Linked DNA regions of Mus musculus. The protein of the gene in region 1 interacts with the protein of each later gene in a pairwise test. Links are inferred from orthologs where the notes say so. Each region holds a gene or a part of one and is shown on either strand. Other genes may lie near its edges.

Region 1 (5,561 bases):
CAAGAGGCTGAGAAGCAAGAGGATTTTGAATCTGAATCCACTCTGGGCAACATTAGCAAGACACTGTCTTTAAAATATGATTTATGGTCAGGTGTGATGGAATATGCAATAATTCCAGCACGCTGGAGCCAGAGGCAAGCAGATCTCAGTTCAAAGCCATCCTGTTATACATAGTAAGTTTCAGACCAGACAGTGCGATATAGTTAAGACTCTGTCTTAAAAACAGAAGAGGCGATCCAAACCCCATTCTGACTATGGCCCCTGAGTACGGCCTCCAGCCTTAGTCTTCCACTGTTAATGTGAGACAGGACCAAGGGCTGAGTGAGGACACAGCACACAACAGAAGTTGGACTGCTCTCCTCCTCACTCTCTAGCCCTCACTTATCAGAAACAACTGTCCCAACAGCACACTACCCAAGTTCCCAAGACTTTAAAGTGAAAACCATAGTTTTGCATACCTTAAAGTATAATCCCAAACAGGGCACAAGTATTTTCATTAAAATTGGCCAAACTCCTTAAAGCTGAGTAAACTAACCTTTAAGAAAATTCTGGGGGGGGTGGGGGGGGAGGGAATCGGTCTTCATTTAAACTATTTCCACGGTAGATTAGAGTCTACTTCCAGGTGGCATGCTCTTCTAGTCTTCCTAAGCATCTATTACTGCTTTCTCTTTGAAACCAAAACCTTCTTAAGAATCCTACTATTCAACTCAGCAACACATTGCATGTCTGTGTTTATGGATCAAAGAGAGAAGAACGGGGTGGAAAGATTTGTAAATGAAAATTAAAAGTATCCAAATGCTCAACAAAATGTGTCAATTGCAAAATGCTTAATATGCCAGGAACTGAAAATTGCAGGCAGTGGGGTTTTGTTGTTTTGTCCTTTGAGACAGGGTTTTGCTGGCTGGCACTGAACTTTCTGAGTTCTGCAGCCTAGAATTTGTTCAGAATCTGCAACTCAACAAAAATTCCTTCATCACATAAAATATCAAAATTATGTGATATAGTTCCAAGCCTTGATGACAGATCTTCATCTAAACAAATGCACAAAGGGATATGAAAATAAATAGCAATTTTTTATTTGCAACATTCTCATAAAAAGTTTAAAATAAATTAATTTAGAGTTTGCTGTTAACTTTCACAAGTGAACTCTACACTCCTTACTTCCCAGTTCTCCTAAATGCTTTAGAAAGTTGTTTTCTAAGCAGAATGGCAGAGGCTGGGCAATCAAAGACTTAAGATGACAACTGGAATAATCCTTACACTGTATGTTTGTTTGTTAAAAGAGAGGGAATAAAAGTCTGAGATCAGAAGATACATTATCCTTTCGGCACACCTGACTCTATCTACTAGAGTGGGATCCTACCAGCCAAAGCCTAAAGTGTAATGAGGTCCTCCAGAAAATAAGCATCCGAGATCTTCAAGTGTATCTGTAAAGCTATTTTATAAATATTCAAAATCTTTAAATTTTGGAAAACAGTTTCAAATATTTGCAGAAATTGCTACTCACATGCCACACCTGCATTAAATCTGTTTTTAATTAGTGACAAGTTTGGATTCCAGTCTGTAAGACCATTCAACAATTCTGGTCTTGAGTTTAATAGAAATGAAAAACTATTACTCAAATCACCAGCAACGGTCATGTCATCAGCAGTTGTCTTTGCTTCTTTTGTGTAAGGTTTATACACATATTTGCAGAAAGCTATTTCTGGTAACTTCAGTGTGGCCAAGTGTTAATCCCAAAGATGGGAGAAGAAAAAACAGCAACCCAAATCATGGTCAAATTAATTAAAGCAAGCAATTAATTAAAGCTAGATTTTTTTCTGTTGTTAGTGTACACAGGCTGCCTCCCTCTTAACTCAGCCTGAAGAGCCCACTGTCCACTAACATCCAGAACAGTGCTTTCCTAACACTTTATATTCTTAACAGAGGAAACTCAAGCTTGAATTGAGAACAAAAATTAACTTCTCTGTCAGCATTGTCACTTGACATTTTTCAGACCTTTACAAAATAGAGATCTTATTGCCAAAATCAGATGAATTATTTGAAAACTAGTGATGACTGAAGAAAATGTATTCAAGTCATTTAATGGGCAAAGAAGTCCTAAAGTAAAATAATTCGTTAATGTTAGCAACACGGTAAAGTCTATAAAGAAATATTTAATTATTTTACTTGGTGCTAAATTTTAGTTAACCCTCTTTATTATCAAACATCTTTTATGTATATCAATGAAGAAAAGTAAATCAGATTGCCTTCAATGATAAAGCACTCAATAAGTTACCAATATTTGAACTGGATCACTGCACCTCCCCCTCATGAAATTAGCCCTTCAGAAGATGCAGCTGAAAGCAGATTTCTTTATGGGGATACTTGAGGGAAAGTAAATTAATATGAATAAATTATGATGTCAAAGAGTCGGGACAAGTGAACCAGGAAAATCAGCAGTTCAGAAGAAGCGTAATTCAGCGAAGCCCTCCAACAGTCACCTGCCTAGGCCAACTGCTGGCAGGTTGCCAGGTTAGACAATGGTGTATTGACTCCAGGATAAGGTGCAGTGGGGGGCGGAGGGGGGACGCCCCAGACTATTAAAAAGGAGCCAGTTACAGATCAACTTGTTAGGTACTGACACAGAGCAGGTATGCACTTAAACCCGGCTCTGATGAATTCCACGCAGTCCTGTGAGACATACTCCTGCCGTAATCCCACAACTACCTGCTAAATTCCAAAAGGCCATAAATAACCTCTAAATAACTCTCCCTACCTGCAAGAATCAAAGTGAGCCTAAGAGCTACACTAACCCTCTGAAGAAACCAAGAAAGGAAAAATATGCGCGTTCCCCTTGGGACCTTGACCCCAGGCACCGAGACTGACACCGCCCCTTGCCGCCCCTCTATCTTCTTTCTGTTCCTTCAGTGAGTGTGACCTTCGGTTCCTTATAGATTCAGGGAAGGCAAGCCACGAGCCACTGCTACCCTAACCCCAAGGTGCCTTTCTCAGTGGTGAGCTGCAGAGGGAGGATGCAGCTCCTCCCCAACCCACCCGCCACACAATTCCTGGGTGCAGACTCGATGTAGAAATGGGAATAGACCAAGGGAAGGTGACAGCCCCGCGTCGCTCAGGGTTAACGAGAAATCTTGCTCTGGGAGAAACGCGCGAGAAGCTCCCCCACCTAGCCCCTACCCAAATGAATGAACTGAGTAAAATGGGAAGGGGGGTCTGGTATGCGCAGTTCTTGCAATCCAGGAAGCAGAATAAGAGGTCGTCAGACGTAAGGCCTGGCCTCGCCGCCCTTTGCACTCCGATTCGTCATTTCCATCCTAGTCTCATATCATTTAACCCTTTAAGCTTTTAAGACACTGTCCTTCCTCCACCTATGCCAAATACCGACACCCCCCACTCCCCTTCTCTCGATCCCTTTCGGGCCAGGCCGCTAGCTTCTTCCTTCCCACGACCCTCGAAAAGTCCCTCAGCAGCCCCGACTCACACGTACCTGGAGATGCTCCTGAAAGCGAATGGGCAGAATCTGGGCCATGGCGCTGTCGGGGAGTATGGTCTCCTCCTGTCACTGGGGCTGCAGGGCAGTGCCTGCCCGGGCTCTCCAAGGGAGAGGAGGAGACGGGGAAGGGGAGGGGAGGCTGGGCTCAGAGGGATACTCTCCGGGGACGCAGGGAACTGGCAGGCAGACGAGAGAGCTTGGGTCGGGGGCGGAGGCTCCAGGGGCCGGGAGAGCCGCAATGGCGGAACCGGGAGCAGCGCAGACTCCGGAAACGGCTGAGCCCTGCGGAAGGATCCCGAGGCAGAACTCCGCCCAGTCTCCTCACGCCGTCCGCCTTATGTAGCCTTCCACAGACGCCGCGCCGCGGTCGGGCGTAGGGATTCAGGGACGCAGTGCGCGGAGCGCTCTTCGCTGATGCGGCTGCGGGGAAACAGAGGAACCGAGGGACTACTTTTTCTAGACTCATCACTTTCCCCAGGCTCCGGTTTCTCCCTTCTCCCCTCCCCCCTCCCACTTTTTTTTTTTTTTAACATTTTGCCACATCATGCGACTCGGGGCGAACTACGTCATTTCCGTAGGCGCTGTAAGACCCACCCACGCACTTCCCGGTGCACGTGATGCGGGTAGGGAAGGGTCGGTTGAAGGCTGCCAGAGTGGAGGGCGAGAGGCAAGATACTGGCCGCTGCTCCTGGGGAGGAGGTGGCGGTTGAGCCCCCTGCCGGCGTGGCGGCCTGGGCGTGAGGACACCGAGTGCCTGAGGAGAAGGCCGCGGCGTGGGTGCCGCGGTGACTAAGGGAAACGGCCCCGCCGCAGAGCTCCTCGGGCGGCTGGCTGCGGCGCGCCTCCCCCGCCTGGTTTCGCGCAGTGGGTGGTTGCTGACACCTCAGGGAGGGGGACCGTACTGAGCTGCAAGCTTCCTTGCCCTGACGCACGCCCTTCTGACGCCAGGAGAGCCGGATGGCTCCTCGAGATCCTCAGATAAACCATCTCAAAGGACAGGGAAGGCCATGGGAGAAGAATCTCCTGCTGGCCCCTGGAGAGCGCTTCCGCGGACATTTTGGTGGACTTAGATCAGCCTAGTGTAGAGATCAGTTTGGCCTTCGAGAACTGGAGGGTTCGGCCACAGGAAAAAGCTTAAAAGATGTAGATCAAAGGATGGCTAGGGAAAGAAACCTCAGGGGCTGTCTTGGAGCTGAGGGATTGACTGTTAGTCATACATGGTAGTAGGACCATTACCTGTAGTTACAGGGTGGGCGATGTAATAAGCCCTTCAAAACCGGAGCACCTTGCCTTCCTACAGCAGTAAGCTATCTGCAGCATTCATTAGCGATTAATAGCCGCCCCAGAGCTCTTGCTAAAGTGTAAGGTGTAATGTCTCACAATAGCACCAATATAAGGAAGATTTAGAGAGTTCATTTCCACATAGTTCGTCTTAATCCCCCTGAAAGTTCTTGAGGAAATTACTTTCAATGCCCCTTTCAACCTAAAGAACATAAGACAACCACTGGGTGTACAATAATTTTGCGTAAGCGGTTTTGCTTAGAGAAATCTGCTTAGTCATTTCAGTTGCGTTTAGTATTCCCCCCAAATACTGCCTTTCATATCTGGGCTGAGAGGAGAACCAGGCAAGTGAGAAGGCAGACAACAGACCCTTGAAGAAGAGCCTTGCCACCATATTTAGGATGTTTTGTGTTTACATAATTTCACTTAAGCACTTGAATGTGCCCTGTCCTGCAATGTTTGAAAAGATTGTTTTCATAAGACTTTGTCCTTTTCTAGAGGTGGGCAAATTTTAAATTAAAATCCTAAGGGAGTTACTGTTTTATTACAGAAATGTCAGTAGCTTAATAGAATTGCACTTTCAATCTCAGAATTTGGGATGTAAGAGCTTCACCATGAACAGATCACCACATTTCAATTTATTGACAAGGGCCTTGTATTTTCATACAGACCCTGCATGAAAGGACATTTCAAATCCCCAGAGCAGTTGATTTTACTTCCTTGGTGTGGAATACCTAACCAAAAAGTGCGCTGAGACTGCTTTGTCATCACACATAGAAATTTCAAG
Region 2 (5,674 bases), on another chromosome or scaffold:
TCCCACTAAAATAGATGCAACATGGAGGCTGGCACTTCAGTTTCCAATTGATATTCCTACATGCCTGGTGCAGTTATCTGCTATCAACAGATACTAAAATATATGCTAGATGAATTAAATTACTTTATTTAAATGCCTTTATAAGGTATTAGTTTATTCCACTTAAACAGATGTTGGCATAACCGGCTTTGTGAACTGAGCTCTTCAATGAAAATCTTTTTTTTTTAAATTTTAAAACTAAGTCTTACTGTCTTCTGTGATAATAAACACGTGATTCTAGATATAAAAAAGACCCAAGAATTTGGTTTCTAAGGTCCAATAATTTTCTTCATGAATTAGGTCCAAACAGTTAAGTAAGCTGGCACTGACCAAAGCACTACTTGGTGACAGAGCTTAATTAGTATTTATAACGTCACTTGAGCATTCCAGCTCAGAACCTGTTCCTAAATTCTGACAACATCACTAATACCTATTTTAAGAAAATTATTCTGGCTGAAGCAACAGTCTGGACTCCTTAGAATTTCTGGCTCTCTTGTTTGACCTTTTCCTCCATTCTTTATAGACACTGGGCCAGTTTTATGTTTGCCTTTTGTGGTATTATAGTTTTATAGAAAGACTTTTAAAATGTTCTTAGCTGAACAAGGCTTCAAAATATAGCACTACTATATTAACAAAACATTTTCTGTAACTAATACAAATTACCACACTTTATTATTTAATTAGATATTTTCTTCATTTACAATTCAAATGCTATCCCAAAAGTCCCCTATACCCTCCCCCCGCCCTGCTCCCCTACCCACCCACTCCCGCTTCCTGGCCCTGGCCTTCCCCTGTACTGGGGCATATGATCTTCTCAAGACCAAGGGCCTCTCCTCCCTATGATGGCCGACTAGGCCATCCTCTGCTACATATGCAGCTAGAGACATGAGTTCTGGGGGTACTGGTTAGTTCATATTGTTGTTCTCCCTATAGGGTTGCAGACCCCTTCAGCTCCTTGGTCCTTTCTCTAGCTCCTCCATTGGGGGCCCTGTGTTCCATACTATAGATGACTGTGAGCATCCACTTCTGTATTTGCCAGGCACTGGCAAAGCCTCACAGGAGACAGCTATATCAGGCTCCTTTCAGCAAAATCTTGCTGGCATATGTAATAGTGTCTGCTTTTGGTGGCTGATTATGGGATGGACCCCGGAAATTATCACACTTTAAAGAGATTTTCAATGTTTAAAGGATTAATAATTTTTTAGAAAAACAGTACCCCTTTACTAGCTAACTAAGCATTTCTGGACTAAACCTAGGGACCATGTTAGACTACTGTACTGCCAAACCAAGAGAAAATAAGTGTGTATAGAACAAAAACAAAAACAATTTGATCAACCTTAAATCTTAAATTTGGTGATGACTCACCTTTATTTTACAGGCATGCGTGGGAGAATCCAATTTTAGGTATTTTTTGTATAACAAGATCTTTTCATGTTCACTAAAATAAAAGAATTCATTTTTAACAGCCATTGGTTGTAAACATTAACATATACTTAAGAACAAATGATTCGGGACACTCCTTCATCTCAGAGATTCCCTTTTCCTGGTCAGGTACAGGGAGTAATGGGCTCCTGCCTGCGCTGCACCGCGTGGAGGAGCAGTACCTACCACTTGCCAGCTATATGGGGGACTGAACGAGGGAGCACATGGCATACTTTAACGCTCTATAAACACTACTATTCTTTCCAACACAGGCAGGACCTAGAGCATGCATTATGTTCAGGACAGATCTGGGCAGAACCCTGTACAAGACTGGGGGGAAAAAAAAATCACAAACTGTCCATCTTTTAATAGGTCAGTAAATAGGCTGCCGTGACAGTCTTAGTTTGATATATCAATCACAAGGAGCCTTCTAGAAGGGAAGAGAGTCAGTTTCAGAATGTCTAATGGTTGTTAAACAGATCCTGCTGAGATACGTGAGAACAAGAATGCTTACCTGGACTGCATTCTAATAAAGCTCTTCCACTAATTACCAGTGACCCGCCAACTCACTTCCAGTTAACTAGCCCGAAATCTCCATATTTTTAAGCTTGCTCATCAACCCTGCCGTTGGAAGGCTTAGTGGTCTAACCTATGTCTATTGGCATGTTTTTAACTTCTCTTCCCTAATGACTCCTGTCCTGTCAGTCTCAGAAAATCCACAAACATTACGAGCTGAGAATAAAGACACTGATTCATATGAACACTTTCATCTAGACAAGTCACAAACCTGTCATCCAGGACAGTGCAGGCAGTCTTGCCTCGACTGGTTCCACAATACTCCTCTCCTAAGTATACTTCCATGTTTCTTGCTGAACTCAGAACGCCAACCGAAAGGATTTCTTCACCCCCATTAGGGCCACAGTTCAGGTAAATGAAGCAGGGGTTTTCATCTCGGGGGCTCAGGCTGCTTTTCAGACTAACCGGATCCTGGCTGAGAAGAAAATTGAAAAAAAAAAATCACAGAGATAAGTTTTCCGAGTAGAAGCATAACCCATTAATCCTTTCAAACTCACCTCTACTTGCCATGAGAACCAAGAACCTTCCCCATCACCCACAGATACTTCTCACAGAATTAATAAGGAACAGAGGTTTGAGGCGTCAGGGCATTCATTCCCGTCCACTTTTCCTAGACCGTGGACAGCCTATTCAACTATCTAATTCATTCGCAGTCAATTAAAAGCGTTTACTGAATGTTAAAACAACCATGTGTCTTTTTCCAAGACGCCGTGGTTCTTGTTCCCCCCAAATAGAAGACTGGGGGCGTTCGCGGGTGGGGGGCGAGGAGGATTGTAACAGGAGGGCATCTTGAACACGAGTTTCCCGGCCTCTCCGGCCCAGCGCGCACCCTTTGCCCGCAGCCTCGCCCACCTCCAGGCACCACCGCTCTCCCCCATGCCGTCCCCGCGGCCTCGCTCGGCTCCCTCGCCCGTCTCGGCTCCCGTCCTCCTCCCGGCTCCTCAGCAGCGTGACTGTCACCCGACCCCGGCCCTGGCCCGGCGCACCTCGGAGCTGGCGGCTCCAGTAGCTGCTCGAAGTCCAAGTCTTGGGCACGTGGCCCAGTCCGGGTAAGAAAAAGGCTTTGGGTCAGCGCCCCGCACGCCGCATCCCAGGACGAGGTCAGCGTCGGGCCGCGGTCCAGTCCCGCGTCTTCGATCGCGGTCTCCATTCTGTCTCCTCCAACCCAGGCGGCGTCGGAACCTCTCTCGCAGAGCTTGCGTTTCCTTCAGTGCCCAGGGGAGGTGAAGGTTCAGCACAACTTCCGGTTCTTCCCCCGACCCCACCCCATCCCACTCCAACCCTTCCCATCCCGGGACCCAACCACCACACGTGCGCATGCGTGTTCGTCTCCCTTCCAGAAGTTGGTTTAAAATCTCCGCGGAAAAGAGCCAGGGGTTGGCTCGTGCGCGGAATTCCTCCGCTCCTGGGGCAGGTGCCGCGCGCATGCGCAGTGCTCTGCGCGCGGGAACCCAGGGGTTTATTTCCACGTTGGCAAAGCAGCGACGCTTTAGGGTGGGAGGTGGGGTGGCGCCTGGGCGGTGTCGGCACCCTGAGGGTGGTACCAAAGCAGATAGGTGCGGTCTCCTTGGCTCAAGCAGCCTGTAAAGCCAGCTCCCAATCCGAGGTCCTCGGAAGAGGACTCCGGGGACCCTTCCTGCGCCAGCCCGTGGAGTGAAGGCCATGCAGGCTGCTTTTGAAGCAGTGCGACCACGGCTGATCGCGTTGTTTCACTGCTCAGGTCACCTCCGTGGGCTGTAGAGTGGAGCGCGGCGCTTAGCATTGCAGAATAATGCTGAGTGGCCGAAGGCACTAAACACTGAACCCACTAAGACCCGGCTTCCGAGCCTCAGGAACCCGGTGGAGCGTGCTTGCACGTCCTAAATGACAGAATTCTCAAGGTTAAAAATGTCCAAGAGGCTCAAAGCTGCGACTTAAGGTTTCTCACTCATAACCTTGACAAAAACTGGCAATGGGCCTTGGTCCCTTCAGAAGTACATTGTACGGTCAAACTTTCTGTGGTGACAAGTGGGACTTGAAACTTTATACTCATTGGAAAGAAAGCTAGGTATCGGCTGTCGTTCCACCCCATACCCACCCCCATTATCTTCCTGAAGTGGGTTGTGTAGATAATTTAAACATCTATTGAGGCGAGGGGAGAAATTTGTTTACAGAAATGTGGAGTACCTGAATTTTAAAGTTGTGCTTGAGGCCTTATATATAATTTCTGGGGAAGTTTTGTTCAGCCATAACCTAGTTTTGTCCCAGAACTTTTTGTTCATCGCTCAGAAAAAACGTTTTGCTTTAATTTTCATTTTAGTCTGTATGTGTACCCCTGTTCAAAAAACGTGTTTATGTCATCAAGAAAAAGATGATTGAATTCTATAGACAGTCACCAGAGTGTATGTATAATGTGTTCATCAAGTTTGAAAGAGAAATCAGAGATTCAGTATAAACAAAATCTAGAAACAGTAACCTTTAATTCTAAAAGGCTCAATTTATATTTTTAAAAGAAATTCCCCACATTCTAAGTGGTCATCATTCTTGTTCTGTTTAGTATGGGGAGCCCCCTCAGAGTGCACAACCAATTGAAAGTCTTTATTCTAGGTATAGCCCCTGAGTGTCCAGAACATGGGATTTTAAGAGACCTTAAAGCGAAGGCATCTCCCTTGGCTGCTGCATCAGAGCACTACGGAGTAAGCAGTTTTAACAGAAGCTAAGATGAGCTGTTAGCCAGCCACCAAGGAGGGTTCTGAACAAATGAGCAACTTAGAAGAACAGTTAGCTGGAGGAGGTTCCGCACAAACAAGCAGTTTCAACAAAGGCTAAGATACGTTATCTTGGCCATTCTGACCTTTGGTTCCTAGAGTGGAGTTGAGTAGTTTTCCATAGGATTCTCCAGCTCAAGGAGATCAGATTCAGGGTAAACCTGAAACCGGCCGGTGGCAAGAAGGCCTTTGCAGTGTCTTGCCCTGTTACTCTGTATTTCCGGCTCCTCTGGTTATAAACTAGGTTAATACGTGTAGACAGTCCTAATGGAAGTACACTCTAGAAACACTAACTTGCAGGTTTGCGTGCAAGATTAATAATACCTTGCGGGTTTTTACTTCCTTAAATAAGGCTGATGAATCAGAAGACTAAAGGCACCTATCATAAAAGACTCCTGCCAATAAATCACCGTTTCTCCATCCTCTCAAAAGCTCTTATCTTCATCTCTGCTTGTCATGTGTTGAGGCGTTAGCTTCATCTGAACTGTTCTGGGAGTTTCTCAGCCAACATCTTGCGCCTGTTCTCATTACCGCCATATCCTCTGCTCTGCCCTCTATCCCTTGTAATGATTGTTGCTGATGGCTGGACCAACATGACCTTTACATCTTAGCATTCAAAGCCTGGTGAACTCAATCTCCTCCCCCTAGAATACTATCCCTTTTCAATAGTTTTGGAGGAAAAGAACAACCTCTCATTCACAGCCAAGCTTAAACCCGTACTATAGAATGGAAGCGATTCCTCGGCTACATCGCACTGTTTGAAGCCCTATAATTCCCTTGCAGTTCCAGTCGTAGCCAGTTTCCGTAGTTGTTTTCCCTACTGACTGCATGCTTGCTGGCATAAGGAACCATTCTGCACTCGTGAAAAATGGTTCTACCTTGTGGATTAA

Evidence for each region.
Region 2: the proteins of Cltc (region 1) and 2310057M21Rik interact in binary tests that used the Homo sapiens proteins (3 or more experiments, as listed by UniProt). The link is inferred for Mus musculus from reciprocal best matches to the Homo sapiens genes CLTC and C10orf88.

The regions. Positions count from the first base shown.
Region 1 is NC_000077.6:86,753,761-86,759,321, forward strand, and holds the start of Cltc (clathrin heavy chain 1), read right to left. Parts: upstream 3,808-5,561; 5' UTR 3,530-3,807; coding exon 3,488-3,529; intron 1-3,487. UniProt on the Homo sapiens protein: Clathrin is the major protein of the polyhedral coat of coated pits and vesicles. Two different adapter protein complexes link the clathrin lattice either to the plasma membrane or to the trans-Golgi network.
Region 2 is NC_000073.6:131,359,485-131,365,158, forward strand, and holds the start of 2310057M21Rik (ATPase PAAT), read right to left. Parts: upstream 3,243-5,674; 5' UTR 3,188-3,242; coding exon 3,024-3,187; intron 2,453-3,023; coding exon 2,249-2,452; intron 1,478-2,248; coding exon 1,405-1,477; intron 1-1,404. UniProt on the Homo sapiens protein: ATPase that regulates mitochondrial ABC transporters ABCB7, ABCB8/MITOSUR and ABCB10. Regulates mitochondrial ferric concentration and heme biosynthesis and plays a role in the maintenance of mitochondrial homeostasis and cell survival.